Linked DNA regions of Mus musculus. The protein of the gene in region 2 purifies or fractionates together with the protein of the main gene of each other region. This does not show direct contact. Links are inferred from orthologs where the notes say so. Each region holds a gene or a part of one and is shown on either strand. Other genes may lie near its edges. The genes, in order: Rel, Nfkbia, Rps3, Psma4, Arrb1, Nfkb2 and Cul1.

The links.
Region 1: the proteins of Nfkbia (region 2) and Rel purify together in Homo sapiens (affinity purification with mass spectrometry; 6 studies listed by BioGRID and IntAct, counting the BioPlex papers as one, with this or other methods). This does not show direct contact. The link is inferred for Mus musculus from reciprocal best matches to the Homo sapiens genes NFKBIA and REL.
Region 3: the proteins of Nfkbia (region 2) and Rps3 purify together in Homo sapiens (affinity purification with western blotting; 4 studies listed by BioGRID and IntAct, with this or other methods). This does not show direct contact. The link is inferred for Mus musculus from reciprocal best matches to the Homo sapiens genes NFKBIA and RPS3.
Region 4: the proteins of Nfkbia (region 2) and Psma4 purify together in Homo sapiens (affinity purification with western blotting; 3 studies listed by BioGRID and IntAct, with this or other methods). This does not show direct contact. The link is inferred for Mus musculus from reciprocal best matches to the Homo sapiens genes NFKBIA and PSMA4.
Region 5: the proteins of Nfkbia (region 2) and Arrb1 purify together in Homo sapiens (affinity purification with western blotting; 3 studies listed by BioGRID and IntAct, with this or other methods). This does not show direct contact. The link is inferred for Mus musculus from reciprocal best matches to the Homo sapiens genes NFKBIA and ARRB1.
Region 6: the proteins of Nfkbia (region 2) and Nfkb2 purify together in Homo sapiens (affinity purification with mass spectrometry; 6 studies listed by BioGRID and IntAct, counting the BioPlex papers as one, with this or other methods). This does not show direct contact. The link is inferred for Mus musculus from reciprocal best matches to the Homo sapiens genes NFKBIA and NFKB2.
Region 7: the proteins of Nfkbia (region 2) and Cul1 purify together in Homo sapiens (affinity purification with western blotting; 8 studies listed by BioGRID and IntAct, with this or other methods). This does not show direct contact. The link is inferred for Mus musculus from reciprocal best matches to the Homo sapiens genes NFKBIA and CUL1.

The regions. Positions count from the first base shown.
Region 1 is NC_000077.6:23,746,954-23,750,779, forward strand, and holds part of Rel (proto-oncogene c-Rel), read right to left. Parts: intron 1,939-3,826; coding exon 1,798-1,938; intron 1-1,797. UniProt on the Homo sapiens protein: Proto-oncogene that may play a role in differentiation and lymphopoiesis.
Region 2 is NC_000078.6:55,489,790-55,494,071, forward strand, and holds the start of Nfkbia (NF-kappa-B inhibitor alpha), read right to left. Parts: upstream 2,859-4,282; 5' UTR 2,738-2,858; coding exon 2,511-2,737; intron 1,990-2,510; coding exon 1,881-1,989; intron 1,542-1,880; coding exon 1,331-1,541; intron 1,071-1,330; coding exon 982-1,070; intron 878-981; coding exon 617-877; intron 181-616; coding exon 133-180; 3' UTR 1-132. UniProt on the Homo sapiens protein: Inhibits the activity of dimeric NF-kappa-B/REL complexes by trapping REL (RELA/p65 and NFKB1/p50) dimers in the cytoplasm by masking their nuclear localization signals.
Region 3 is NC_000073.6:99,480,630-99,485,021, forward strand, and holds the start of Rps3 (40S ribosomal protein S3), read right to left. Parts: upstream 3,081-4,392; 5' UTR 2,993-3,080; coding exon 2,963-2,992; intron 2,304-2,962; exon of another isoform or gene 2,156-2,303; intron 2,072-2,155; coding exon 1,941-2,071; intron 1,726-1,940; coding exon 1,632-1,725; intron 1,163-1,631; coding exon 1,068-1,162; intron 1-1,067. UniProt on the Homo sapiens protein: Component of the small ribosomal subunit. The ribosome is a large ribonucleoprotein complex responsible for the synthesis of proteins in the cell. Has endonuclease activity and plays a role in repair of damaged DNA.
Region 4 is NC_000075.6:54,949,382-54,953,950, reverse strand, and holds the start of Psma4 (proteasome subunit alpha type-4), read right to left. Parts: upstream 3,093-4,569; 5' UTR 3,048-3,092; exon of another isoform or gene 2,997-3,047; intron 2,608-2,996; exon of another isoform or gene 2,523-2,607; intron 1,870-2,522; 5' UTR 1,846-1,869; coding exon 1,843-1,845; intron 1,611-1,842; coding exon 1,568-1,610; intron 1,273-1,567; coding exon 1,110-1,272; intron 1-1,109. Other genes in the region: AY074887 (cleft palate-related protein 1), read left to right, coding at 3,112-3,510. UniProt on the Homo sapiens protein: Component of the 20S core proteasome complex involved in the proteolytic degradation of most intracellular proteins. This complex plays numerous essential roles within the cell by associating with different regulatory particles.
Region 5 is NC_000073.6:99,597,689-99,601,514, forward strand, and holds part of Arrb1 (beta-arrestin-1), read left to right. Parts: intron 1-802; coding exon 803-873; intron 874-2,112; coding exon 2,113-2,164; intron 2,165-2,315; exon of another isoform or gene 2,316-2,667; intron 2,668-3,409; coding exon 3,410-3,521; 3' UTR 3,522-3,826. UniProt on the Homo sapiens protein: Functions in regulating agonist-mediated G-protein coupled receptor (GPCR) signaling by mediating both receptor desensitization and resensitization processes.
Region 6 is NC_000085.6:46,308,454-46,312,675, reverse strand, and holds the end of Nfkb2 (nuclear factor NF-kappa-B p100 subunit), read right to left. Parts: coding exon 4,193-4,222; intron 4,048-4,192; coding exon 3,922-4,047; intron 3,812-3,921; coding exon 3,602-3,811; intron 3,522-3,601; coding exon 3,380-3,521; intron 3,022-3,379; coding exon 2,907-3,021; intron 2,834-2,906; coding exon 2,620-2,833; intron 2,469-2,619; coding exon 2,299-2,468; intron 2,180-2,298; coding exon 2,077-2,179; intron 1,953-2,076; coding exon 1,801-1,952; intron 1,668-1,800; coding exon 1,598-1,667; intron 1,395-1,597; coding exon 1,222-1,394; intron 1,096-1,221; coding exon 984-1,095; intron 907-983; coding exon of another isoform or gene 904-906; coding exon 782-903; 3' UTR 586-781; downstream 1-585. UniProt on the Homo sapiens protein: NF-kappa-B is a pleiotropic transcription factor present in almost all cell types and is the endpoint of a series of signal transduction events that are initiated by a vast array of stimuli related to many biological processes such as inflammation, immunity, differentiation, cell growth, tumorigenesis and apoptosis.
Region 7 is NC_000072.6:47,523,156-47,526,644, reverse strand, and holds the end of Cul1 (cullin-1), read right to left. Parts: intron 3,442-3,489; coding exon 3,359-3,441; intron 2,947-3,358; coding exon 2,841-2,946; intron 2,129-2,840; coding exon 2,015-2,128; intron 1,092-2,014; coding exon 1,011-1,091; 3' UTR 501-1,010; downstream 1-500. UniProt on the Homo sapiens protein: Core component of multiple cullin-RING-based SCF (SKP1-CUL1-F-box protein) E3 ubiquitin-protein ligase complexes, which mediate the ubiquitination of proteins involved in cell cycle progression, signal transduction and transcription.

The DNA.
Region 1 (3,826 bases), on a different chromosome or scaffold from region 2:
GGCTATATCCCTAGGGCAATGCAGTTCTCATTTATCTTCCGAATATTATTATGATAGTTCTTAAAGGTACCCAAGGCTCTCTGTTAAGAATAATCTACCTCTATACTCCTATGGTCCAGTATTCTACATGCAAATCAGGTGTGGCATATACTACTGGTGAATGTGTGTGTATATACACAAAATATTTTGGAGGAAAGTTTTAAAATCTTTTCAAATAAACTTCTATATCCTTTGATGTAGGTATCTGTCAAAAGTTATTCTTTTAAAAATAAATGTCAGAAATATTTGCATAAGAGATAAACATTCAGGAGCCAGTGACATAGTTAAGGCAGCAAAGCCTGACAACTTGAGTTTGATCTCAGGGAAACACATGATGAAAGAGCACAGCCAAGTCCTGTAAGTTGTCTTCTGACCACACACATATAAACAGGCAGATACATGATCCATAGAGAGTTGTCTTTAAATGCACACATAAATATATCTACTTTGGTATAATTTGCTTACAAAAGGAAACAAACCAAATATATTCTTAAATATGATTCTTAAAAGTCATCTTTTTTATTTTTTATACTCCATATTAATGATTTCTTAAAATTAATATATAGACATATAAAAAAATATGCTTCTGAACAAGGTGACACTGGCCTTTAATACCAGCACTTGGGAGGCAGAGGCAAAAGTAGAGGCAGGTGGATCTCTGTGGTTCAAGGCCAGCCTGATCTACAGTGAGTTTAGGACAACCAGGACTGATACACAGAGAAACCCTTTCTTGAGAAAAAAGAAAAAGAAAAAAGTATAAAGCAACACAAAGAAAGGAAGAAGAAGGAAGGAAGAAGGAAGGAAGGAAGGAAGGAAGGAAGGAAGGAAGGAAGGAAGGAAGGAAGGAGATAAATATTCAGCTACTGGAAACCTAAGTGGGGTTTGGGGTATAGCTCTGTACAATGTCCTGGTTAAATGCCAGCAGTGTTTAAAAAGAAAAAAGAAAAGAAAAAGTGATTGAAAAAGGTTCAAGATACATTGCAAAGAGAAAAGTTCTGGGATTTTCTGTCTCTATCTATTGAGGAAGGATCCCATGTGACACAGTAGGGTCTTGAATTCCCATTTTTAAACATGGTAAAGGAAAACTTAACTCCTGATCTGCCTGCTTGGACTTCCCAAGTGCTATTATTATAGGCATGCACTACCACTACTGGCTTGAAAAAAAGTTGTTTTTTTTTAAAATATCATTGATCTTTTTTTTTAAGTTGCCAAACTTAGTGGGTGAATGGGGTTGATGAGGAAGATGGTGGTGTCTGTGCTTATTCAAAGGGACTACAGTGTATGCTTGAGGACAGTGGCCATTTAGGAGGAGACTAATGGTGATTTGCTCTTCTTTCTTATATATGTATATATGCTTGAGGGTTTTTTTTTCTATAATGAACAGTGCTTTGTTTATTTGTTTGTTTTTTGTCTGAGACAGGATCTTTTTATGTAATCCTGGAAATCACAGGGTAGACAAGGATGGCCTTGAACCCACAGGGATCTGCCTATCTCTATCTCTGAGTACTGGGATTAAAGACATGCACCGCCACCCCTGGCTTCTTCTTGTTTCTTGAGACAAGGTCTCAATGTGTAGTCCATTATGCCTTCAAACTTTATCCTCCTGCCTCAGCCTTCTGGTTGCTAGAATTATATGCACAAACCACCAATCCCACCTAACATACTCCTTTTCAAATTGCAAAAATCCTTTAAACTTTTCAGCAGTTAAGGAAATGAAACAAGCTAAAAGTACAGACATAAGAAAATTAAAGCACTTACGGTTGTCATAAATTGGGTTAGAAACAATGGGAGGCAGAGCAGTTGTGAAGTTACCATGTTCATCAGGAAGGAAAACTTGAAAACACAGCCTCACCACATTGAGGTCGCAGTCTTCAATGTCCAGCAGCTGCTGTTCAGGGACTGAACAGTACAATCTCAGATTTAGAATGTAGAACACATAATACTAATACTTTATTATTACCAAAATCCTGCTGTCTTTCTCTCTGCCCACAACATCCAATAACCTTAACCCGCACCTACGTCTGCAGAAAACTAAGATGGGGTTCAATCTCAAGAACAGTTTTCATTATTGTACAGTTACTATTTAACAGTATATAACAGACTGTAGCCATGCTCAGAGAGAGACTATACCAGGGACTAGGAACTTAAGGGCAGAATCATAAACTGACCACCAAAATCAAAAATCTTAAATATGGATACAAGTTATAGACAATGGGAAACATGCATACTTCATTTAACATAACACTTGGCCCAGTCTGTAATTACGTTCTAAATCTAGCAAAAATCACCATCATCCCTGTTCTTATAGGTAAGACATTGATTTTAAGGAGATGACATTATTTGTCTAAATAATAAATTTTACAGCTAAATAATAGCATGGAAATTTGAAGCAGAGGGTCATATTAACTTATTAACATATTGCACCAGCATTTTAGAGATGCAATGTGAAAAAGATATCAGATGATATAACTTTATGTGTAAGTCAAGTCAGCTTAAAAACAAACTGCACACCAGGGCATTTTTACAGTTCTGAAAAAAAAATACAAAAACTTGCCACAGAATATAGTACAATAGTCTCTTTGCATTGATATTTGAAAAGAAGCCCATTTCTAAAACAAAATATTGCTGCGTTTTGAAATATTTTAAGCCTATAGCAATAAATTGTTACTAATATATGCCATATTTTAAAAACATAAAATTCATTAAATTACATGAAAAATTTACTTGGAAAGGACACTAGTATTAAAATTAAAAGATTAAATATGAAAAATAATTAGCTAAATTCCCCAGTCTTACAGGTGATAACTTATTTAAAAAAACATATCTCACACAAAGCCAGTCAAATAGTCTCAGGAGTTATGCTAACACTGAAATTTATTCCAGTATCAGCATTCTTAAGCCTAACATTTGAGTCTATGAAAACATACTTGTACAACTAGAAAGGTCAAAATGGGGCTGAGAGAGATGATTCAGTCGGTAAAGTACTTTCCTTGCAAGTATGAGCTCAACCCTCCAACCCATGCAATGAAGCCAGGTGCAGTAGTAGTCAGGCTCCTGATAATATTCTCAGTGCCAGGAAGGCAGAAGCAGGGTACTGGTCGCCATCTAAGCCCGCAGATGAGAACCCCAGTTCAAAAAAGGGAGGCAGAAAATGTTGGAGGCAAACATCTGAGGCAGTCCTTTTGCCTCCATACCTAGGTACGCACCCTCATACCATGTTCAAGGGGAAAATATGAGGTTCAAAATGCTAAGAGGGCAGCACCTGTATCACAGTAGCACAGTTGCTGGGACCAGGACAGGCAGTAAGAGTGCAGGACTACTGAAAGTCTCATTTAATAGCAATATAAATTTAAGAGCTCAAGGTTTCAGTGTCTTCATTTCAAAGTGAGTAATCAATATTAAAACAAAACAGACAGACAGAAAGACAGACAGACAAAAACAATGAATGGCTAGGTGCTCCTGACAGTTTACAAATAAATTTCTGTTAATAGAAACAAGTTGTAGTATAGTCATACAATGAACAAATACTCAGCAATAAAGAACAAACTATGGTTATATTTTCCAACAATATACACTGCAAAACCAGTAAGACCAAGTGGAGCCAGGCAGGAAAGAATATAGAATATAAAAGAATACTTCCATTTCTATAAAACCCTAGAAAAATTAGGTGTGCTGACAAAAAGGAGATGAGCTGTTGACTGGGGCAAGAGCTGGAAGGAAAGAAATGATTGAGAAAGATCAAAGACAATTTGGGAGTGGGGGAAATGTTTCTTTGCCTTGAGGTTAC
Region 2 (4,282 bases):
AGGCGCTGTGTGGTGTGGTGCTAAGTATACCCTTTCTCATTTTTTTTCTTTTTCTTTTTTTTTTTTTTTTTAGAAAAATAAAACTCTATTTGTACAAATATACAAGTCCACATTCTTTTTGCCACTTTCCACTTATAATGTCAGACGCTGGCCTCCAAACACACAGTCATCATAGGGCAGCTAAAACAAGAGAGGGGAAAAAGACATATTAAATTCCTAGAACTTCACCAAGACATTGGGATAAGGGGAGAGCTGCTGCTGAAATAACTCCTATTCTTGGGCTCTTTTTCTCCTTAACCCAAATAGAACAAGGGCACCAGGCTGTAGGAGTTTCCCTTACCTATTCTTTCCTTAAAAAAAAAAAAAGTCTAAGCTATTGAGGGGGTGGAGCTTAATGGTTGAACGTGTGCTTATCACCATGTGCTAAGGCCTGGGTTCAATTTCTAGAATTCCCTCATTCCTCAACCCAAAAGGGTAAGCTCTTAAAACAAACCAGAGACAAATTCTTGGGATCCTGGCTTTGCAAGCCGAGTCTGAGAAGTTAAACAACTGAAATCCCTCTGATCCAAAGCAGCCCTAGAACAGCCGTCAGCGTGCTGAGGGGAGGAACACTCACCTCATCCTCTGTGAATTCTGACTCCGTGTCATAGCTCTCCTCATCCTCGCTCTCGGGTAGCATCTGGAGATTTTCCAGGGTCAGCTGGCCCAGCTGCTGCTGTATCCGGGTACTTGGGCGGCCCCAGGTAAGCTGGTAGGGGGAGTAGCCTTGGTAGGTTACCCTGTTGACATCAGCCCCACATTTCAACAAGAGCGAAACCAGGTCAGGATTCTGCAGGTCCACCGCAAGGTGGAGGGCTGTCCGGCCATTGCAGGGCTCCTGAAACCAAAAGCAATCAGGCGTTAGTTTACGGCTGCATCTGGAAACCTGCTCACCATCAGAGCCAGCCCAACAGAGATTAGGTGGAAGGGAGATGTACTCACCTGAGCGTTGACATCAGCACCCAAAGTCACCAAGTGCTCCACGATGGCCAGGTAGCCGTGGATAGAGGCTAGGTGCAGACACGTGTGGCCTGGAGGAGGAAGACAAAAACTGTAACTACGTGTTTCAATCCTCACACAACTCATGTCTATTGTCTTGAGGACAACCACAAACATCATCAGTTTTGAAGAACTCAGAATCTGGGTTCTGAGTGAATATCATATAGGCATCGAGGAGAAAACTTTTTAAAAAGATCACAGTGTCTGAACTTTGTATACGTTCGGAGTTTAAGACTCAAGTGGCCCCATCTCTCTCCCTCCTCTGCATCCTTGGATGGACTGGCAGACCTACCATTGTAGTTGGTGGCCTGCAGGACGGAGTGGAGATGCTGGGGTGTGCAGGTCTGCGTCAAGACTGCTACACTGGCCAGGCAGCCCTGCTCACAGGCAAGATGTAGAGGGGTATTTCCTCGAAAGTCTCGGAGCTCAGGATCACAGCCAGCTTTCAGAAGTGCCTCAGCAATTCCTGGCTGGTTGGTGATCACAGCCAAGTGGAGTGGAGTCTACAAATGGAAGAGGAAACAGAAAGGGATAAGCCATGGAGCAAACCCATAGTCTTGAGTTTCCTGAACCCCAGACACCTCCCGCTATGGAATCTGATCCTCCCATTTGTCTCTTAGGAGATCAGGCAAACAGGAGGCCCTAGGTGGGTCATAAAGACCTCACTAAACCCAAGGGATTTTTCTTCTGGTTCTAAGACGTTGGCTGATTTGAATGCAAAAGGCCAAGGCAGATAAGAACTAAGTGACTATTAATTTAGAAACGCTTTGGGGGCGACCGTGCTACATCTGACTCCACCAAGGGGTCAAAGAGGGCACCCGCGGGGCAAGCAAGCAGCGCACCTGCTGCAGGTTGTTCTGGAAGTTGAGGAAGGCCAGGTCTCCCTTCACCTGACCAATGACTTCCATGGTCAGCGGCTTCTCTTCGTGGATGATTGCCAAGTGCAGGAACCTGAGGGATGACAGGGAAACCCCCCGAGGGGTGGTGAGCACACTGCGTGGGGGGGGGGGAGGCGCGGGCTGGAGGTGGGGTTGGAGGGGGGATTGCGCAAGGCCGGGGTTTCTGGAGGCCGCGGCCGCGGTGTTTTCCGCGAGGTTATTATGAGCTGAGTGTTCCTGGCAGCCGCCCAGGGACTTTCCGTGCCCCACCCCCTCCGGGCGGGCGCCGGCCAGACCGGCCCGCCCTCCGCCGCCCGGAACGCCCTGTACTTCCCCTCGCGGCCGCGCGGCGCCCGGCGGCTGCGCGCCACCGCTGCCAGGCCGGGACTTTGCGTCCTCGCCGCCGCTGCCGCCCCGCCCCCCCCGGCCTGCGCTCGGCGACTCCGGGTCCGGGGACAGGGGAGGAGGGGGAGGGGGGAAGACAGGCGGCCCGCCGCAGCCCCGGCGCCCCGCAACCCCGGCGCCCTCGCCGTGCAGAACCCCGAGCGCGCTGCAGGCCCCGCGCGACCCCCACCGGTGCCCGGCGCCACTTACGAGTCTCCGTCCTCCGTGAGCTGCTGCTTCCAGGGCTCGGCGGCCAGCGGCGCCTCCTGCGGCTGCAGGCGGATCTCCCGCAGCTCCTTCACCATTTGCTCGTACTCCTCGTCCTTCATGGAGTCCAGGCCGCTGTCGTGGCGATCGTCCACCAAGCGCTCCTTCTTGAGGCCATCCCGCGGGCCCTCCATGGCCCAGTCCTGGCCGTGCCCAGCTGGCTGAAACATGGCTGTGCGGGGCTGAGCGGGTGCAGGCTGCAGGCTGCTGGCGGCTGGCTGGCGAGGTCTGACTGTTGTGGGCTCGGCAGCGCCGCCGCGGCGCCCTATAAACGCTGGCAGGGGATTTCTCAGGGGCGGGGTCAGGCGCGGGGAATTTCCAAGCCAGTCAGACTAGAAAAAGAACTGGCTCGTCCTCCACTGAGAAGCCTAAACCCAGGGCCGGGGTTCATCGGAGAAACTCCCTGCGATGAGCCACTGGGGTCATGCACAGGGAACTTTTTGATGAGCCCTGAGTGGCTGGAAAGTCCTCCCGACCAGGCCCCCTCCCTCTAGGTACTTCCCTGCAGCCTGCACTCAGTAACCCCAGCCCTCTGCAAGAACCCTTCTTTCCCTGGGGTTTCCCACCGGGCGATTTTGGTTTGGGGTCCCAAGCTGCGCAGCTTCCAAGGACGCAGACCTGCTAGGCTGTTCCTCTTAGCGATTTGCCAGTTTGCAGGTCTTTTCCGGTTTTTGATCTTTTTGAAAACCCAAGAGTGGAAACGCTGGCTAGGTGCAGGGATTCGCTTCTCCTAAATTTCTGCGACGACGGACATATGAGTGGTTCCGGGGCCGGCTGTGTTTTGTCTGTTCCAGGCCCTTTGCAATGCAGGGACATTTGGCTGTCCTTCACTCCTACTCCATGAAGCTGTAAAAACTTTGGCATTAAAACAAACAAAACCACCACCACCACCAACAAAAACCAAGAGCTTGGAGAACCCCTAGATTATTTCCTAGGGGTCAATAATCTTGCCCCCCCCCCCGGGGGAGGGGCAAATCCTAGCTCCGTATGGGAACCACATTTTTCCCCAAGTAATGCAAGCTGTTAATCTTAGTAGAAGTTGTAGTTTCCTTGCAACCGCAACTGTTGCGTTCTTGCTGTCGGAGTTAACTTGTTGCAGAGAATGAAGCCGGAGCTTATTGTGAATGCCTAGCAGAGCAATTGACTTAGTGCCCTAGCCAAGGCTGGCCTCTCAAACATAGCTAAAAAAGTAACTGTGAGGTATCCTGCAGGAGGCTCAAGATAGTCCTAACACAGACCCCATCTGAAACCTGCTGCTTCTATCAGCTTCCTTGCTCCCAAGGGACCGCGGCATTATGGGTAGCTGCTCCCCCAAGAAAGGGATTTGGGCCTGTGAGCCTCTAGTTTAACCGGCAAAAGTACAAATGTTACTTCCACCCCACCCCTACTTAGGGAAAATTAAAGCAACGTGGATCAGAGTTTGTCAGACCAGATCCAGGAGGCCTCTCTAGTTCTGCATAGATTTCTGGTGAGATGTGAATGATCTTTTTCTTAATGAGCCTTATGTCAGCTTTCCTCTCTTTGGAATTCCAGCGCCTCCCCCTGAGTATGCATGTGAAGACACTGAGGGAAAAGATTCAAAATCCAGGAAAAACCAAAAAGCCTCCAGACAGTAAGGGCCAGGTTAAAGTTAAAACTTCCTCAGCGAATTCTCCTTTTCCTCTCAGTGGCAAGTTGGATCTGCAAGTGTAATTGAGTGGGACATAGTGAGATTG
Region 3 (4,392 bases), on a different chromosome or scaffold from region 2:
CACCAGGAAACCTAAGCATTAATAGCACCAAAAAACCCTTTTGCCTATACAACACTAGAAAGCTAGGAGTGGTGGCCCACACCTTTAATCCCAGCACTAGGGAGGCAGAGGAAGGAGGATCTGAGTTCGAGGCCAGCCTGGCCTAAGGTCACAGAGAAACAAAATCCGGTTAAAGCCAGGTGTAGTGGCACACACCTTAATTTCAGCAAGCAACCTGACTTGGAGGTCAGCTAGGCTATACAGTGAGACCCTGACTCTCAACAAAGAACCAAATTGGCCTTCTCAACATCTAATCCTTATAACAAAGGCAAGGTTGTACAACTCCTGAAACAATGTCAGGCCCCTTACCTGATCGTTACATCACTTCTCAGTGCCATAAAATTTACAGGAAACGTTGGGTTTTTGAGAGGGCCTCCCCTGAGACTAGCCTCTGTTTTGAGGCTAAGGCTGGCTTTGGAGCTTTGCATTGCTGATTTTCTACCTCCAGTGCGAAGATTGGGGGGTAGGCATTATGAACCCTGGCCAATTGCTAGTGTAAATGTCTTTCCCTTTAGAACTGCTATCTCTATATCCACACAGTGAATGCATTAGTTAGTAGAGCTGCATGACTTCTAGCTTGTTTTGAAACCTGCACTGCCAAAGCTACAACTCCCAACCAGATACTCCTCCCAGGTACAGTAACAGGCAGGATGCTTTCCTGCTCACCTATCAAGGGTCCTTGCTAAACCTCACAAAGCGGATGCCCCTCCCTGTTATGATTCTATCTACTCGTTTCATTCTCAACATACCCACAGCATTCCCTCGTCAGAGCACTGACCATTTTTTCGGGGCTCATCCCACAGCCCAGGCTGGTCCTCCCAGTGCTGGCATACAGGCATGTGTCACCAACAATAGGTCCTTCATCCACCAGCCTACTACTAGCCTAGTTAGCCTAACTAGGTTCAGTGGGGGGATGGGCTACACCACCAGAGACTAGATGATTCTGTCAATCAAGTTATTTGCTAACAAAAATGCTAGCACACACTAATCCACAGGAGGGCATGACCATCAAGTCTCAGGACACTCACCTTCGAACCGCAAGCCCTCCAAGGAGTTTGTAGCGTAGAGACTCTGCCTGGGCAATGGCACACAGACCTCTTGTGGCCACTTTCTCTGCATAAAGCTTTAAAGAAAGCAAAGTACATTCCTGTCACTCACCCATCTTCAATTAAGCCATTGTAATATCCCTTAGATACTCAAGTACCACGACTACCCACACAAGGCAGCGATGAAGGCTGAATCGCCCTTCTACTCTGGTTCCTCACAACCACACTAAGGATAGCCAGTCACCCATGCATTATTTCTACATTCGACCACCAGAATATCATACTGTTTGTGGTTTAAGACAGGGTCTCACTACAGCAGCCCTGACTAGCTCTGCCCCGCCGTCATCCTGCCTTCTGCGTGCCAGGACAAGAATATGGGCCCCCGCCATGCATGGCAATCGCTCTGCTTTTAAGGAAATTTTGGCAGAGCATCAAGTACCTGTGACTGTCACTGGCCATGTCAGGTTTTCAGAAGTACAATTCTATAGCAGAAGCCACATCCCAACTCAGTCTAAAACCCCCGGGAGATAAAGCAGAGGAACTCACCTCTACGCTGCCTTCAGGGAAGCCAAAGCGCTTCTGGACAACTGCGGTCAACTCTCTGATCCGACGACCCTTCTCCCCAAGAACATTCTGTGTCCTGTAGAGGGGAAGCGCAACCATTTACTCAAGATCCCACCTGCCGCCCACCACAACGCCAGCACACACGTTAAATGGAAGGTAAGTTCTTCCCAAATGCAGTTCTAACAAAGCAGTTACACCCACTGAGGCCAGATTTACTGCTTGGTTGGCCCAAGTTTACACAGCATCTCAGTACACACAGTATTTACAGGTGACAATCAATGGTATTTCTACCTGGTGGCTAAAATAATGATTTCTGTCCTGGTTGGTGTAACTCGGACTTCAACTCCAGAGTAGCCATCTTCAGCCAGCTCCCGAGTGAGAAATTCATTCAGCTCAGCTTTGAAGATGCCATCAGCTACAAACTGAACCAAAGGAAACAAGTTACCTCTGAGGTGAAGACAGGGTTAGTCAGAGCAAGCCCAATGGCCCTACAGAAAAGCAGCAACCCTTCTCAGACAAATGCCTCTTGGTCATCTTTAGGAAGTTTCTTTTGACCACAGTGCTTTCAGCTGTGCCACAGAACGCAGCATAGTGAGGCATCTTGGACAAAGACAACACTTCCTACTCAGACTCGTCATCACCTCTTCATCGAAGGGCTCTACGGCATAATCTACACCCAAGAGACAAAGAAAAATCTGTCTCCAAGTAGCACATGTACAGCTGGGACTGTAAGTTGTACCTCGGATAGGAGAGGAATCCTGACTCAAAACAGGTTTATCATCTGTGTGCATAAGCACAAACGACAGACCATCTATTTCTAAACCTGGCAACCTGCACACTTTTCCCCCATGAAATGATAACCACAGGGACGCTGCAGCTCCGGGTCCCGAGTGAACACGGCAGCAGTCAGTAAGTAGGCTTTCAACTATGGCCACTTGCAGGATCACGCGACTAAGAGAAGGGACTGCTAAACTTCACTTACTAAAGAAACTGGACTAGATCTGATGGCACACGCCCTCTAACTGTGCCACAGGATTACTATTATGGAGACCAAGAAACGCTCAAAGGTGTCTAGTCCGGAACTGGAGGCGCCCGGTGTTCGAGTCGGTCCAGAACTCGAGGAGTTTGTCCCTCCCTTGCCCAGGCACACAGCACTCGCCCGGCTCCGGCCCAATACACAATCTACGGCCATCCGAGGCTCGAAGAGACGGCAGGCGGCCCCAGACGCTCCACAGGACTGATCACGGAGCCACAGGCCTCCCTGGCACTTGTAGAACCCGCGGCGGACTCCCGAACCGGGCCCAGACGCTTACCTTCCTCTTCTTGGAAATCTGCACCGCCATCTTGCAGCCGCGCGCCGCTGAAAGGAAAGGAAGTGGCTCGCGGGCGGAAGTAGGTATATAGGGCGGGAGCAATGACGCCGCGCAGCGCGGCGACCCTTGCAAGTGTTCATGGGAAATGAAGTTTTGCATGGGAAATGAAGTTTTGCGTCTAAAACGGCGTAGGGGGGGTGTAACCTAGCAACCTGTAATGTAGGCGGAACAGGAAGTAGACATCTAGTTCCGGTCTGAAAGTGCTCTGTACTCAGCAAGCTTGGGGTTCCAGCACTAACGAAGTAGAGGGTCACAAGTTTAAGGTCATCATTGACTACATAGCGAATTCGAGGCCAGCTTGGCCTTTATGAGTTTCTGACTCAAAAGTAAAAACGTAAATAAATAAAAAATTTGAAAAGAGCAACCTTCAGACTAGAGGTGCAAACCACAGGCATAAGCACACACTAACAGATTTTACCACCTTCACGTTCACGCTAATGAAAACTTTCATTGAAATGTATTTAGAGGACCAGCTGGATGGCTCAGTAAGTTACAGAGTGAGTGGGACAGTAGAAAACCATGGCTGCGTATACATATATGCAAGCATAAAACACATGCGTGCGCACATGCACACAGATTTAATATTATTACAAAGGTAAACCCTGATCCATGAGATGGGCTTATTTGTAGGATTTCTGGTAGTGAGCACCTCCACTAGAACCTGTGGGAAAAAAAAATTTTATTTTTTGGTTGTTTTGTTTTGTTTTGTTTTTCCGAGACAGGAACTTTTTTGACTCGCAGCAGGGTGGAATACCAGCAGCAGGGGCTTGTCAAAATAATAAAGCACCAGGGCTTCGGGGACAGACTGTTGAATAGTATAAATCTAGGCCATAGGACCTTCCCTTCACACAGACCCTGATGTCCACACAAGCAAAAGTTCATTGCCCAGAGGCAGAACCTGCTGATATAACTTGTACTGCAGTGTGTGGCTCACTTCACACTGGAAACACGGGAGTCTGTTTCACCCTGTATTAATCCCACGGAACAAAAGTAAAAACTATTACTTAAACTCTTTTAGACAAATTAAGCAAGTTTTATTTTCTATCAGACAGGGCTATCTCCCTAAAGTGGAGTTTTAAAGAATAGCATCAAACATAGAAGTGGAATTTATATAACTCAAAATTTCTAAGACTAGGTGGTTTCCAAGGGAAGAGAGATTTCCAGGGGAATGTTGGCTACACAGGAACTTGGCAGAACATCTTATCAGGGTGGAAGTCAGGGTATAATGGAGTATGGAACATGTCAAATTCCAGAAAATGGGTTGACGACAGGATCAAACCCAAGTGTTACAGAAAACAGGAATGAACTTATTTTGACCTTGTAACAAGATGGCTTCTAATCATGGGACAGAGTCAGACTGGTCTGTCACC
Region 4 (4,569 bases), on a different chromosome or scaffold from region 2:
AAGGTCTGTGAACGTTGTGGGAAAGGGGCTGCCAACTACTTAAGAGAGGAGACAGAGTAAGGGCAGCAAAGCACGTTCTCTAGATCTGACAAGTGAAGTCACAAGCTTACAACTAGTTTGGGCGCGGACAAGACCAGCCCTGTCAATAATTAGCCAAGAGTAGCTCATAGGACCCTACCCCTTATATAGGATCTATTGGTTACTGGTAGATTCTGGGCAAGACTCACTGTTCTCGGCTATATGTACACACTGCTGAGCCCACCAGACTCCAGCAAGCAGCTCTCACACAGATGGCCCTGGTAATGCCAGTGAATCAAAACAGACAGACATAAATATTTGTGGGGAGAAGGGTGGGAGATGGGAAGGTAAGAATAGGTTGTGAGAGTGGTCAGTGTGCTTGGTAAACACATCCAAAGCTGTAATACATAAACAAATAATTAACTAGGCCCCAGTGCCAAGTCTTCAGCCGGCCTACCACTGATGGCAAAGTCTCTATATAGCACAGCCAGTCTTCCACCAACAACCAAATCCCACAGCCAGCTCCAAGTACTCAAACTGGACAGAATCAGACTGCACCCTGTGGCTGAACTGTGTCAGACCTCCACGAGCCTTGTTCTTTGGTAAAGAGTCAGGATAACTGTACAGAATTCCTGCGTGCCATTCTGAAGGGCATCCTGAGGCCCTGCTTTACACGGTGGCACTGTGTTAGTTTATTTCACTATTTTGTTTCATTTGATTCCCATAACCACTCTGATCCTCAAGAAGTTAGATAATAGGTGTAGCACCTTGTATCCATGGACTTTAGATTTTAAACCAAACCTGTGTGGCCAGAAAATACATACATACTTTTATCACTGCACAGTGCTATTTTGCACCAAGTGTTTATCTTTGCATTTCAAGTGAATTATACACATAATGAACTGAGATATAATGGGCTGCAAGGAGATGTCAAGCAAAATAAAGCAAATACACAGATTTTTACAAGAAAAATAATAAAACTGCTCATTTCAGTTCTATCACTTCACATAGAAGATCCCTCCTTAAATATGCAAATCCTGAGTACGCTGTCAAGTGCAATAGTTCAAGCTCTTCCCCATGATCGCACTTACTCATTAAGTTTATAAATTTTCTCAGAAAAGAAGACTTCATCAAGAAGCTTGTGGATGTTGCGCCTCTCCGCTGCAAGCAAAACTCCATCATTGGCTAAAATCCCCAAACAGGTGCCTGCATGTCCAATGGCTTCCATGGCATACTCCACTTGGTATAAGCGACCTACAAAACAGTGAGACACCACGGTTCCTCTCGCTCTTGCACCACTCATCTGAGAGAAATCAGCAATGACACAGGTAGGCTGGCATCAACAGCCCTGCATTTACTCGCCCACAATGCATGGCGTAATGAACCTGGTGACAAGTTATCTCCAAGAACCAAAGGAATGAAGTCAACTCCAAAATGTGTGTAGCTAAACGTCACACTAGACCCCAACACTAAAAATATACTACTTAAAGCAACAACCACAACAAAATGCCCCAACCTTCTTTGGAGCAGGTTAAATCTTCTAATTTACCTTCTGGAGAAAATATTGTGGTCCTGGAGTCATATCTTCGAGACTGCAAAGGAAAAACAGAGATGATGCCTGTTCACTGACATACGCCAACTTCCGGATGTCCATGCATTGGATACAATGACACCCTGGTGCTGAGTTCAGTGGAAAGAAGACGGAAGACCCCATTCAACTCCCTCTACCCCTTTGGTTTCATTTTCTTCCATGTCAGGCTGTGAGCTTCAAACAAGCCATAATGTTCCCAGGCAAAAGTTAAAGGAAACGTGTCATGAACTCACCATGGTTTCTGAACTTTATGTTGATTCCTGTGAAAAGAAAACAGGATCATTAATAACAAAACCCCCACAATTTTAAGAAGTGTCTTCCACTGTTAATACCACTTGATCCACACCATCACTCAGCTAACATGAACTGCACCACCACTGGGACCTATACAGATGCTGGGCCACCACAATAAAGGTAAACCATGGTGTCCTGAAAAGCTCAGAATCTAGCAGCCAGGTATGACAGACAAAGATTATAAAGCAACATGGAAGAGACATTCAGGGTGGGGAGGGAAAGCAGAATCGACAGCAAGTAAGATTTTAGGAAACCAATACAGATAATGAGAGTAAATTAGAGGTGGGAGAGGCAAAGGTAAGTTGAAAAGCCTCAAGTCAAAGAAAAAGAATTGTGAAGGGGTGAAGGAAGGGCATTCCAAGTAGAGCAGGCTGAGAAAGGTTAACAAAGTGGATAATTCACATGGTCCTAAATTTGGGGGTGTAGGGGTTAGGTGGTAAACCTGGTCCTTATTTCCGTTTCTTCGAAAGACAGCAATGGAAACTCTGCCTTAGTAGAAAAATGGCAGTTCAATTCCTATGTTGCCAAATGGGATATAAGGAAGGCATCGTGGCTGGAAAGCTAAGCAGACATTTGAAGGGTCTGCGCGCCCAGATGTTAGAAAACACCTTTATCTTACTTAAGACCGCTTCACCGACGGGCTGGATTCAAGGACCACGGGAAGTGACATTTTAGAAGAGTCGTCAGGCCTAAGGAGAGTTAACCTGCCAGGAGTCGGTTCCAACATGTAGGAGAAACAGAAAGGTGGCCCTGAGCACAGCAGCCAGGAGGCCACGGCGGGTTTCGGATTCGACTGTGAACACAGCTACCTCCACGCCTGGCGCCGGCGCTACAAGACTTGGACTTTCCCCCGCAGCGCCACTTTCCCGAATTGACTCTCTGGGCCGCAGCCGCCCCCACCCCTCGCACCGGCCCGGAGGGTCTCAGAGCCCAGGCGAGCCGTCAAGGCCCCGCGGGGATACCCGACGGCGGCCGGCGGGGACCAGTCCCTGGCAGGCCGGTCACCGAGGAGGCGGGTGCAAAGTCATCGTGCCCACGGCTCCTCGGTGGCGGCCGCGGGCCTGGGCCGTGGTCTCCACGCAGATGGCCCCCGCCCGGGAGACAGACACCTCGACTCCGCGGCCCCTAAAGGACTGAGCCTCACCAGAGGAAGACGGTGAGGGTGCAGATCAGCGCCTCTTTACTCAGCTGGAGAAGAACCAACCCGGATGGCCAAGCATCCGCGGCGAATATGGCTCCCGCGCGTGCGCAGGACTGCGAGGGGGCGGGGCGGGGCGGGAGGACGCGGAAGTTCTCCCAGTGCTGGGGCGGGCTCAGTCTGCCCACGTGGACTGTGCAGAAGCACAACCTCGGCTTTGGCTGCGGTCTGTATTAGAGGAGGACTGGAGGGAGGAGGGAAGCGTCTATACCGTGGAGAGTGGAACCAGATTCCTCCTACGCTTTGCACTCCACTTTCGTTTTCTCTTCTGTACCATTCTAATGGAGGCCAGAGTAGCAACTGTATAGACAAATCAAATCGTTTACTCTTCCAGTCTTGCCCCTTAACAGTTTTTCCTTTGTTCTTCCTCTTAGCCTCATTTTCTCCTTTCTCAGATCCAACTCTTTAATTGGGATAACTTTTGTTCTAAGTTTAAGACTTCTCTTCGCCGGGCAGTGGTGGTGCACGCCTTTAATCCCTGCACTTGGGAGGCTGAGGCAGGCGGATTTCTGAGTTCGAGGCCAGCATGGTCTACAGAGTGAGTTCCAGGACAGCCAGGGGTACACAGAGAAACCCTGTCTCGGACAAAAGAAAAAAAAAAAAAAAAAAAAAAAAAAAAAAAAAAAAACGAAAAAAAGACTTCTCTTCATCCATTTCTCCTTTCCAATCTTACCTAGTTTTTGTGCCTATGTTGGGGGTTGAAGAGCTAGTGGGTTGACTATGTACAGGGCCTTTGTCTTCTGTGTAGGCAAAACGGTTGGATCTGGGTTTCTTAAAGGGGGAAGCTTAGAAATTTAGTTGCATGTAGACGGGACCTGGCCTGTACTCAGGACCTGGTTTGCCCTGTAAATTCCAAGCCAGCCAGGGATATATAGTGAGACTGTTTTAAAAATGAGAGAGAGAGAGAAAAAAAGACCAAAAGGTAAAATATCCATACAATGCAGCATATATTTAATTTCAAACAGAAATTAGCAATATTTGCAATAGGAATTTAGTGGAGAATCTCTCTTAGCAAGAACAATCAAGAGAAACTTGCAGAGTTCCATTGTATAACAGGATAAACACTGATTTGGAATGAGACCCAAGTTCCAGCCCATTTTTCTGGTCCTGATTGGCCAAGTTAAATAAAAACCTCAAATATGAGTATCCTAAGTGTTTCACATGTGAATGATCTCATGTACTGCCCCCATGTGTGTGGGTGTGGGTGTGGGTGTGTAAAAACAAGGAAGGAAAGGCAGCAGGATGGGATTTTGTAGTGATTAGGAACAGGGGTAACAGCCCAAAGACCTAATTCAAGATCTAAGCCTGAGCTCCCTTCTAAAGCAATAAATCAGCTTTTCAAGGCTCTATTTCTTTATTTAAAAATGGAGATTAATCATCAGAATATCTTTGTGATTCTGTTCTGGATTAAATGAGGTAGTGCATGTAAAATAACATTCAATAATCATTGTAGTATAGTATATTCTAC
Region 5 (3,826 bases), on a different chromosome or scaffold from region 2:
TCCAGCCACATCCAGTATGGCTTCATGGAAGGCTGACTGTATCTGGCTTGTACCAGTCCATCACACCCAGGCCCTTCCCACTTCACAGCTGGCAACATGACCAGTAAGATGTGGTTGTGTTTTCTGGAGACACTCATAATTTTAGGGAGGCTCTGCTAAGATATGCCACCCTTAGCAGTGAGGAGCCTTCAGGGCTACGTTTAATCAGTCTTTTAATTCTGTTTATCATCCAGTGGCTAAGGGGATGGGTGATTGAGCCAGAGTCTTTCTGCACTTACTGCCAATAGCTGTGCAGCCTGAGGCAAGAGGCTAATCTCTGAGTGCCTAAACCTAGGGCATCTTAATAATAGGGCTGTAGTGAAGAGGATCGCAGGAGTTGTTCTAAGGAGGGGCTTGGTACACTCTGTATCATGCAAATGCCCGTTCTTGTCCTCAACCTGTGTACCAGGGACAGTGTCAGGGAAGGCCTGGTCACCAACAATGACTGGTGACCAGCTCTTTCACAGGCACACACAGGAGGTGTCAGCGTCTGCCTATGGTGTGGACAGCTCCTGAAACCTGTGGGTGGCAGAGAGGCGGGTGGGCAGGACTGGGAGAAAATTGGAAAGGGTGGTGTCAAGAGGCCATGATGATTTGAGATGGGCAGAGCCCCAGGCCACTTTGGTTACCCACTGACCATGGTGTGAGTCCCCAGCGGGCATGGTGCCCAGCCCATGGTCTCCCCAGGCCTCAGACGGACAGGGCAGCAGGTCTTTCTCTCTGAGGCACTCACCGAGCTCGCTGGACGGGGTGTGTGTTTCAGTGATGTGGCCGTGGAGCTGCCTTTTACCCTAATGCACCCCAAGCCTAAGGAGGAGCCCCCACATCGGGAAGGTGAGTAGGACCTGTGGGCCACTGGGGTGGGGTTTACCAGCCTCCCTGTTACCCCACTGCTCTGCTTCTTTCTGGGTTAACCTCCAGCCCAGAGTCATCCTTTCCCCAGCTCCCAGTCTTCTGCAGGGCCTACAACACAACTATTATTTGCTTTTGACCCAACTAGGGGGGCAGAGAGCCCTGACTGCTATTCTCCATGGGACAGGGAGGTTCGGAGTGGAGGACAAGCCACACTGGTGGATTTTAATTTTAAAAATTATTATGATTTAAAAATATTTATTTTTATTTTATGTGTATGGGTATTTTGCCTGCATGTATGCCTGTGTACTATATACATGCAGTACCTTCAGAGGCCAGAAGAGGGCGTCAGATCCACTGCGACTGGAGTTACAGATGGTTGTTAGACATCCTGTGGGTACTGGGAACTGAACCCACAACCAGAAGACCCAGTACTCTTAACTGCGGAACCATGCTCAGTCCCCATATTAGTTGAGGGTTTTTTTTGGTTTGGTTTTTGTTGTTGTTGTTGTTGAGACAGGGTTTCTCTGTATAGCCCTGACTGTCCTGGAACTCACTTTGTAGACCAGGCTGGCCTTGAACTCAGAAATCCGCCTGCCTCTGCCTCCCAAGTGCTGGGATTAAAGGTGTGCACCACCACACCCGGCATTAGTTGAGTTTTTAAGGAGGTAACAGATTGACTACATTCCATTGCAAGGGATGTTACAGTCCCTCTCACAAATGGAGTCTGCCTATGAGTAGTCGGTGAGATGCCGCAGATGGCACTCTGAATTCAGAGAGGTTACAGTGTGAAAAAAAAAACAAAAACAAAAACAGGGCAGTGTGATAACACATGCCCATAATCTCAGCAGAGGGAAGTGTGTGAGGTAGGAGGATCACGTTTGAGGCCAGCCAGGGCTGCAAAATGATCTTAGGGTAAATGGAACTCAGGGAAGCAAAAAGTGAATGTGTCTCACGTTGGAGACCTGCTTCCTGCAGGGTGTTCATTGGGCATGGATGCCTCCCTCCCACATCTGCTGGTTTTTGACCTGGGAGGCTTCTCACTCACCTTCCTTCCTTGCCCTCCCCATCTTATCTAGAGAGTCTGAGGAGTGTGTGTGTGTGTGTGTGTGTGTGTGTGTGTGTGTGTGTGTATGTGCGTGTGGTCCCTGTCCCATCCCTCACCTCTCATCCCACACCCCACTTACCCCTGGGTACCTCACAAGCCTTGTATATTTTCAGTTCCAGAGAGCGAGACTCCAGTAGACACCAATCTCATAGAGCTTGACACCAAGTAAGCTGAACCTTCCTGCCTGTGCTGTCTGGGGAGGGGCTGGAGGTGGGACGGGAGAGGTGGAGGGGTCATTTGCATAAATGTTAATCAACCTCTGAGGAGCAGCTGGTCTAACCTGTCTGCTGAGAGCCACCTCTGCTCACCTCTTCAGCAACCTGCTTGCCTGCATGTGACTTGAAGGACCCTCCATGCCTGTTCCTCTTCCTCCTGCATTGGTGGGGTCTGTCTTCCTTGTACGTCCGTCAGTCAGTCAGTCCGTCCGTCTGCAGCACCCACCCAGCTGGCTGACACGGGGCTGGTTCAGACTCTGGGGCTCCCCTCTCTTACCCGACCAAGCCAGTTGGAGGCTGCCTGTGGGGTGGAGAAGGTGTCTGGGTGCTGTCACTCTTGCGGCCTGAGGACCAACCGATTCGGACTCCCCTGCGGTGGAAGGCCATGGGGCACCAAACAATGGCCAGAGGAAGAGGACCTGGTTCAATGGCTTGAATCGCCTCTGGGGCCAGGTGGCTTTCTCCTTCCAGCTTCCCAAACCTCCTTTCCTTGATTCTTTGGTGAGATCTGAGAAACAGAGGTTTGATGTTGCCCTGAGGAAACCCATTCAGCTGACTGAATTCAATGGGGGCCAGGGACTTCTGCCTCTGCCTGGGCCAAAGGGTCATGGTGGAAAGAAAGAAACAGTCCTTAGTCCTGCAACCTTAAACCAGGCACCTTTCCCCATCACTCTGTCCTCATATCCTCACCATCTTCCAAGCCCCGTTCCAAAGTCCCTCTCCAACCTAGGACTCCGGGGATGTGGGTTAGATCTTCTAGGAGAAAGACCTGTTCTCCTTCCTTAGAACCCAACACCAACTTCCTGGTTGAAACAGTTACCCTCCCTAAAGCAGTCTTGGTAGTTTGATTTGGAGGGGTGAAATAGGGTTTCTTGGGCTTGTTCTTTGGGGATTCCGACGCAGAGCCACATTGCTCCCCCTACTTACCTTCTCCATCTCCCCAGGAACAGGGTTGCTTTTCTAGCCCTTATGCACTGAGAGGCAAGCTTTTTGCAGTTTATTTGTGAGAACCCCCACAGCCATCAGTGGGCTTGTAAATGGGCCAGCCAGGCACGCCTTTCTGCCTGAGGTCATCCCAGAGACCCTGGAGATCAGGGGTTCTCTCTTGAGTCCTCCCATCGTTTGGCCAGGCCTCTGGATCTGCCTGTCGTCTACCTCTGCAAACACACGGCATTTTCCTTGTCTCTCCCACTAGTGATGACGACATTGTATTTGAGGACTTTGCTCGCCAGCGGCTGAAAGGCATGAAGGATGACAAGGACGAAGAGGATGACGGCACCGGCTCTCCGCACCTCAACAACAGATAGACTAGGGCCGGCCTCAGCCCGGCAGCTCCAGGTTCACTCTCGCACTCGGATGCTTTCTCGTCTCCTTCCCATTCTGGTTCTTCCTTTTGTTCTTCCAGTTTCTACCAAGGGGCCCCAGTGGTCTTCCAAGTCTCGGTGATGGGCCTCTCGCATCACCACGCCAGCAGGACCACGTCCTCAGCCATCTCTCTGCAATCACCTGCCCACCTCCTTCTCATGCTCATTCCCAGGAAGGCCACACTGCCTGGCCTTGGGATTTGGCTTGAGATGGGGAGCAGAAAGGGGAGGGTGGGGCCTGAAGGCAC
Region 6 (4,222 bases), on a different chromosome or scaffold from region 2:
CAGTGCCCGCTGGGCACCTGCATGATGACATACACGGTCCTGCCTGAGCTCAGCTAGCCTCGGGCCAGCCACGAGGGCCTCCTGGTCCAGGGCCCGACCGCGCCGGACGCGGTGTCCGGGGCAGGGCAGGGCTGAGCCGGGCCTCAGAGCCTAGGCTGAGGGCCTCTCAGAGACCCCCTTTTTGTGATAATGTTTTGCACTTTTTCGTACAGGAAGGGTGGGAGGGGCCCATGCCCCTAATTTTTGATGGGGGTTTCCTTTCCTTTCCTTCTTTCTTTTTTTTTTTTCTTCCTTTTTTTTTTCGTGGGGGAGGCCTGATCAAGTTTCTGCTTTCTGCTGAGACCACCTCACCCTTACACCAGCAACACCCCTCCATCCTGGGGCCTGGCTCAGACAGAAGCCAGGAGTTGGGGCTGAGCTGGTCCCCCTATTCCTCCCCAAGGGCTCACCTCTCTCTTTGCAGAGACAGAGGAAGGGCATCCACTTTGAGGCCCCATCCACAGGCTGGGGTGGCACGGCCTGCTTCCCTTCTTTGGTGGGCCCTACCCTTTGTACAGCCTCCACCCTCATTAAAACTGCTCTGAATTGCTGGCTGGGCCTCCTCCTCTATTCTCGCTCAGGGACTGGGATGGGCAGCACATTGGGGTTGCTGTACCGTAAGTTGGGGAGGGGTCTTCCCCTTTATTTGACCCACCGAGATGTGGGCTTGAGGTTTAAATAAGATTTCGATTAGACAGGGATGCTGTACAGAGGGATCTGGGTGGAAGTTGACCGGGGCCATTCAGTGCACCTGAGGCTGGGGGTGCCCGTGGCAGAGCCCTCCTGGAGGCTCAGGGGGTGGACACAGCTTCTCTGCCTCCTGCTCCACTGACTGGCTCCCATAGGCACTGTCTTCTTTCACCTCTGCTAGGGAACAGGGGAGAGTCAAGCCTCATGCCTTCTCCCCTCAGCCCAGACACACCTTCCAAGGTGGTTGTCCTTACCTGTGCTGGGCAGCTTGTCGCGGGTCTCAGGACCTTTCAGCAGCCTGACTCCCTCATGGAGACCCATGTCAGACAAGGCCTCCAATAGACCCACCAAGTCCCCACCAGCCAGCTGCCGAGAAAAGGCGACAGGAGGTCTGAGTGATGCTTAGGGTGTGGGGTTAGAGAGTCTTGGTGGGGGAGGGAACTCTGAGAGGCCAAGGTTTCAGGCTTCAGGGCAGGGTACAGGCTGCCTCACCTTGTAACTACGAAGGAGACTGCCGCTGGGAGACGGGGTCTTCCTGTATGTGTCCACCAGGCTTCTCAACCCCAGTCGCTCTGCCAGCTCTGCCCAGCTGCCCTGGGCTTCGGGACCATCCAGCAGTTGCTCCAGGTTCTGCAGGGCTGCATCCCCCAGGGACAGCCCTGGCCCTTAGGGGACAAATACGGACCTGTGAGTTAGCTAATAGGTGTGCAGGGACACGTACCCAGACAGCTTCTCTCCCTTGTAACCTGACAGACATGGTGGACAGATCAACGGGGCATGGAAGAGGAGCTAGACAAAGGAAGCCCTCGCCAGAGTCCCTAAGGATATCACCTCTGGAAGGAGGTGCCTGAGACCACTGCAACCTCACCTGCAGGGCTGGGTGGGGCCAGGGGTGGCTCCGTGGTGTTCTGAGCAGCATTTAGCAGCAGAGTCTTCACCTGGGGAGATGGTGTTGACTGTCATCCGGACCTTAAGCCCAGCTTTCCCTAGGTCCATCATCTGGGACACACCCCCAAGTCCAGAAGGTCCCCAGTCCCCACCTCAGTACTTCTATTGCAAGGGTGGCCTCACCTTGGTACTGCAAGTGAGGTCAAGAGGGGTATGGCCTCGGAAGTTTCTTTGGGTATCCCTCTCAGGCCCTTCAGAGTCGGAGTCGCTCCCAGAGGTCGAGGGTGAGGGCAGCGGGCACAGAGGCTCCTCATTCTCTGCATGGATGTCAGCACCTGGGGGAGGGAGGCAGTCCTCAGGAGAGACTAGTGGAGGCTCCTACATTGAGGACTGAACCATGGGGAGCTGGGGGTTCCCCCTTCCCCCCCTTGCCCTTCATACACCAATGGTGAAACTGACCAGCCTTTAGAAGGAGGCGAGTAAGAGTTGGGGACCCGAGTCCAGCTGCCAGGTGGAGGGGTGTGTTTCCAGCAAAGGTCCGGGCATTCACATTAGCATGGAGCTGTAGGGTGCAAGCAGAGAGCAGCATAGTCCAGCCAGCCAAGCCCTTGCCACGCAGATCATCATTCCGGGTCCTCCCACAGTCCGCAGCCCCATCCCTTCCATAGTCCTCATTCCTACCTTGGTGACTAGATGGGTGACCAGCCCCAACTCCTCCATCTCTGTGGCTAGATGCAGGGCAGTTCGGCCCCCTTGCCTCTCTGGGGCCTCCACTTCAGCTCCACAGTCAACTAACAGATCCAGGCACTCAGGGCTTCGGGCATGGACTGCCAGGTGTACAGGGTATAGTCCTAGAGAAATAGCACACGCGCCTGCAGCTTTGACCCTCAAAATGGCCTCCGGATGCACTCTGACCAGGCAACCTCCGCTCGTGTTTATTGATCATATACACTCCTCGGTCCCCACCCTTGTTCCCAGGACAGGAGTAGGTTGGAAACTTACCCTCAAAATCAGGCATGTGCAATATTTGGGGCACAGCATGGGCTCCGCTGCGCAACAGTGCCTGCAACAGCTCTGGGGCTGCAGCACCTGCCCGGAGAGCCAAGTGGAGGGCGGAGTCTCCGTGCCGATCCAGCAGCGTGGGGTCTGCACCCACCTGCAGCAGGAAGCTCACCACCCTTGTCTGCCCAGTGATTACCGCCAGGTGCAGAGGCGTCTGAGGAGAGAGGCAGCGTTAGGCCAGCTTTGGACTCCCTGCCTTCAACCTCTTACCAAAGGCTTCCCCTTACCTGGTGCAGGTGGTTGGTGAGGTTGATGACGCCGAGGTACTGAGCGTGATAAATGACGTGGGCTATCTGCTCAATGACACCAGTCTGCCCATGGATGATGGCCAGGTGCAGTGGCCTGAGGGTTGGAGATTGAGACTTTGTCTTCAGAAACCCAGCCACCCAGAGCAGCACATCTGCCCTCAAAACTCCACACTTCCGCGGTCTCCTTTACCGAGGCCCCTTGAAACCTAAATGTCATCATCTTAATCTTTTGTCACACCTTGCTATTTGTACCCCTTCACAGCTAATAAAATTGAAGGTCGGGGAGAGTAAATATCTTGAACAGAAGTAGAAAACAGCGAGGACCTGAGACCAGATCTGTCCAAGCCTAGGGTTCAGCTCTTTGTAGATTCCTCTACCCGAACATCTAGACCTGGTAGCAGAAGACCCCAGCCACTGGAGGTCCCACGGAAGCCCGTCCTCTGGTTGCTTACGTGTCTCCGTTCTCGTCCTGTGCCATCAGCAGGTGGCGCTGTCCCGCTAGCAGAGCACGCGCGTCTGCGGTGACGCCGTAGTCCAGCAACGCTCGGGCGCTGCGCTGCGCCAGACCGAACAGGCGCGCGTTGTACTCGCGAGCTAGGGGGCGACAGGGGGCGTGGGTGCGGGCCAGATCCCCAGCTTGGCGCGCGCCCACCCCCAGCGTTCCTGAGATGTACCTCGCTGCAGTGTGTCAAGGGCCTGTGGTTCGCCCTGGGGAGCCTCCGGGGGCGTCCTGGGCTCCTCTGCCCCCTCGCCAGCATCGGTGTCCCGTCTAGAACCGGCCATCTGCGCTCCACCTCCCCCACCCGGATAGCAGCCCATTGGGGCTGCACCGGATTGGTAGGGGTTGTAGGCCAAGGAGGAGGAGAAAAAGCCGAGGCTGCCACCTGTGGGCATGGGGAAGGCAGTGTGAGGTGCCAGCCAGGACTCTCCCAGATTCCTCTCCTAACTTCCCTTATCTCCTCCATCCTTCTCCCTGCCACTTGCACCTCCTCACCTCCTCCAGCGCCTCCATAACCCCCAGCGGAGCCCCCAGAACCTCCACCCATGTGGGATCCGCCCCCGAAGGGCTGGGAGAAGGTGGGCAAGGCCTTTCTCCGCTTCCTCTGCACTTCCTCCTTGTCTAGGAGGAAAGAGAAACGGGGTGTTAAAACCTAATATGGGTCAGACCCTAGATTCCTCAAGCTGGCTCCTGGGAGTCAACTCTAGGCCACCTCCTGGCCCGCCTCGCTCCGTCCAGCCTTTGGGAATGCTGAAGCCCGACTCACCTTCCACCAGAGGGTAATATGTGAACTGTT
Region 7 (3,489 bases), on a different chromosome or scaffold from region 2:
CTGAGAGCAAAGGTCGGTGCAGTGCCTTGTGGCAGAGTCCCTGGAGGTCTGAGGATGACCCTGGGCTGGACTGGATCTGAGGAAGATGAGAGCCTTCAATCCCTGGCCTGGGCCCTCCTTCCGGGGACATCCTGGGGTGAATATGGCAGCCTCCTTGGAAAAGCTTCACTAGGAGGGACCTGGAATGAGAGAGATTCTCAGTTCTCACACACAAGTGGAGAGGGCTGACCATCCTCCTTGGTGGCCAGGGAGTTTCCAATAATTTAGATGCAGTGATACAGACCAGCTTCTACACCTGTCTTAGTATTCATTTAGTCCCTGCAGAGTTGACAGCAGCAATCTGGAGTATGGTACCTCTCAAACGCCATACTCACGGTACTGAATAAGTCTCAGAAAACAAGGGTCAGTGCCCAAAAAGATTAAGGACTTTAAAAATTAAGATCTTAATTTCCAATCCAAAGAATGCAGCCCTTTTGGATTTCAGGAAGACAATGGGAATATACACTTGCACAATCATTAAATCTTTTATTTACATATAGAAATTAGAAAAACTTAAAACAAAACCAAATGCAACTTGTACAGAAATCCTTTAATTTTCTTTATTTTCACACATTAAAAAAATGAAACACACTATACAAATGGTTTTCATAGCAGATTACACGTGGGTCCATTCAGACTCGCTCTCGTGTGCTGCCTCAGACGACAGCTGTTAACCAGGGAGCCAATGTATTGATTTAAGTGCGGTAGCATGCAGCCTCAGCATGGAAGGTTCGGTTCCCCTCTGTCTGTGAGTTAGGGTAAATGGCATTGGCGTCTGTTTACAGACTGAAATGTGTCAGTCAGTCCTGAGCAGTCCTGCTGTAGCCTGAAACCAGCTGGTGGGAACTGTGGTCTCAGCTTTAAAAATGAAGGTCCAAATGGCGGCAGGCTGGCTGCTATGAACTTGAGTTGTTTCCATTTTATTCACTGGAACTATCTGCTTGTGGGTCATGCAGACCCTGCTAGATGGGTTAAGCCAAGTAACTGTAGGTGTCCTTCTCACCATCGACTCGCTCCAAATATTCTTTTTCGATGAGAATATCAATGCATTTCTGGGCATTGTTTTAGGAAGAAGAGGGAGTTAAAGGGGGAGAGAAATGAAAATAACCATCAGGAAAGAGGTCTGTCACCCTCACCACAGTTACCCTCCACTGAGCTCAGCAGGAAGCAAATTCAACCTGTCTATTGTCCTGAACCCACCTGAACCTTCAGCAACACCTGTGGGTGACTGCACCCCCACCCACTCCAAACTGCCCTGTGCATTAAGAAGGCAAGGGCTCTAGCACATCTAGGCCACAATCTCCCTTTTTAACAAAGCCTGGCTGCTTCTGGGCAGGACTCTGCTGTCACAGGTCAGGAGCACAGGATGGGTGAGTCAGAACTTGAAGAACATGCTAGCATGGTGCTAATAGCTCCTGACCACTGAGGACTCACCATGCATCGCCATCCCTGGGTTCTCCAATGGCTGTGGCTTACCCAAGTCGTTTCAGAAAAGGAAAGGTCTGCTGAGTTATTGCCATCAGAAAACTTGGCAAATGAGATCATTAGTCCCCTAGATACAGGGGAGTATGTTCCTGCTCGGAAGCAGAAATGGACAAGTATTTCCCAACAATGCAGCCCCAATGAGTCCCCTCATACTGCCAGGTGGGTTCTCAATAGAGAACACTGTACACCACTTCCCACCAGGCAAAATCAGCCAAGGCTGCAGGACAGCTAGCTCATTGCCAGAGAAACATAGGATAGGGGAGGAACATGTGACTTCTTGGATGCCTGTGACGTACTCCTCATCAGAATATCAATTATAAAAGTATATTTATGACACATATGCCTCTTATATTTACTTCAAGAATGAAGTTAGCTGACTTTCCTTTGTTGAAGTTTTTTGTATGAATGAGTAAGCCAGTTCCCATTTTCATGAAACAGCCATTAATCCTTCTGCTACAAGTTTCCTAACCATGCTCTGTAATTCCTGTACCTTGATCACCGGGACCCGAGGTTTGAACCTGGAGGAGAGCTGAGTGAGGACTTCACCAAGTAACTGCTGGTGTTTCAGGACCTTCCTCATTTTCATGATTCTCACGATGGCCGCCTATGCAATCAACAAGAAAAACACATGCTTAGAGGTTTAACAGCTGAGCATGAAAGTTCAAGGCAGCCTGTACCACCTCATACTCAACTTCCATGCTAGGGTAACAACTATCCTACAGGTCAGGGAGGGTACAAGCAATCAGCTCTATCCATCAGCTTTATCCATTAAAATGTTTTGTCTAAGGGGCTAGATTGATGGTGCAGTGGTTTAAGAGCACTGAGGTCTTCCAGAGGACCTGGTTTCAGTTCCCAGGACCTATGGAGTAGCTCACAACCAAAGAGATGCAGCATCCTTTCCTGGCCTCTGGGGACACCAGTAGCATACATGAACCCTATCTATATGTGACTACATATAGACAAAACATGCATATACACTAAATGTAAATCTTAAATATTTTGGAGGGGCTAATTTTGGCCAACTATAAAGCACTAAAGAATAAAGAAAAAATGGATCTCTAAAGGAATAGAAGGTCCCCTTCCCCCCAATCTCCTGTTTCTTTAATCTGCCACATATTACCTGCTTCCCAATACTTAGGCAAGAAGATTAGACTACTTTTGTTTGGAACATAAAATACTTCATCCCTCAGACACCAAGTGCTGGCTTCAGGCATTGTCATCTTTGGCCATCACCGAACTGTCATTCTGGCAGCGTTTGAGCACATACAAGGCCAGCACGTTTCCCTAAGTGTACAGTGCAGACATGGTTCAGTCACCTGAATCAGTAGTTTGCGGTCTTCCTCTATATTTTTGTGTGTAGTTTCTTGTTCCTGCTTCTGTTCAGTTTTCATTGGTACATTGATATTAACCCTCAATTTCTTACTGTCAAGATAACAGAGGAAACAGGTCATTGAAAAGTCTGCTTCCTGTCTTTCAACTACACGTTTTGCATCCCTGGACTGGGCAGGTGGTTCACACCCATCTCTTCTATATCATTTCTCATCATTTCTACTGCTACCTGCGAACTGCCCCTCCACCAATGCTATGTAATTTTACCACAGAGGGATGACTGAAGTGACACTTGACCCCTCAATTTAGTGAATTGTAATAACACCAAAATAACTTGATATAAAGGTCTAAACATGCCATATGAGCCACTCAAGACTTATTTTCAAGATAAAGAAAATCAAACTCAGCATTAAAAGCAGAGTCCAGTTCCCCTGGCTCGTGCCGATCCTGAAGTAGGCCAGTGCCAGGGGATAAGACCAGCAGCTACATGTTAGATTTTTCTTACTTTTTATAACCAAGATATAACTTTATTAAGGTGTCTGGCTTCAATTCCACCTCATCAACATTGGCATTTTCATCTTCTAAGACCTAGAAGAAAATAACTGTTACTAGGCACATCCTAGGGAAAGGGTGTCT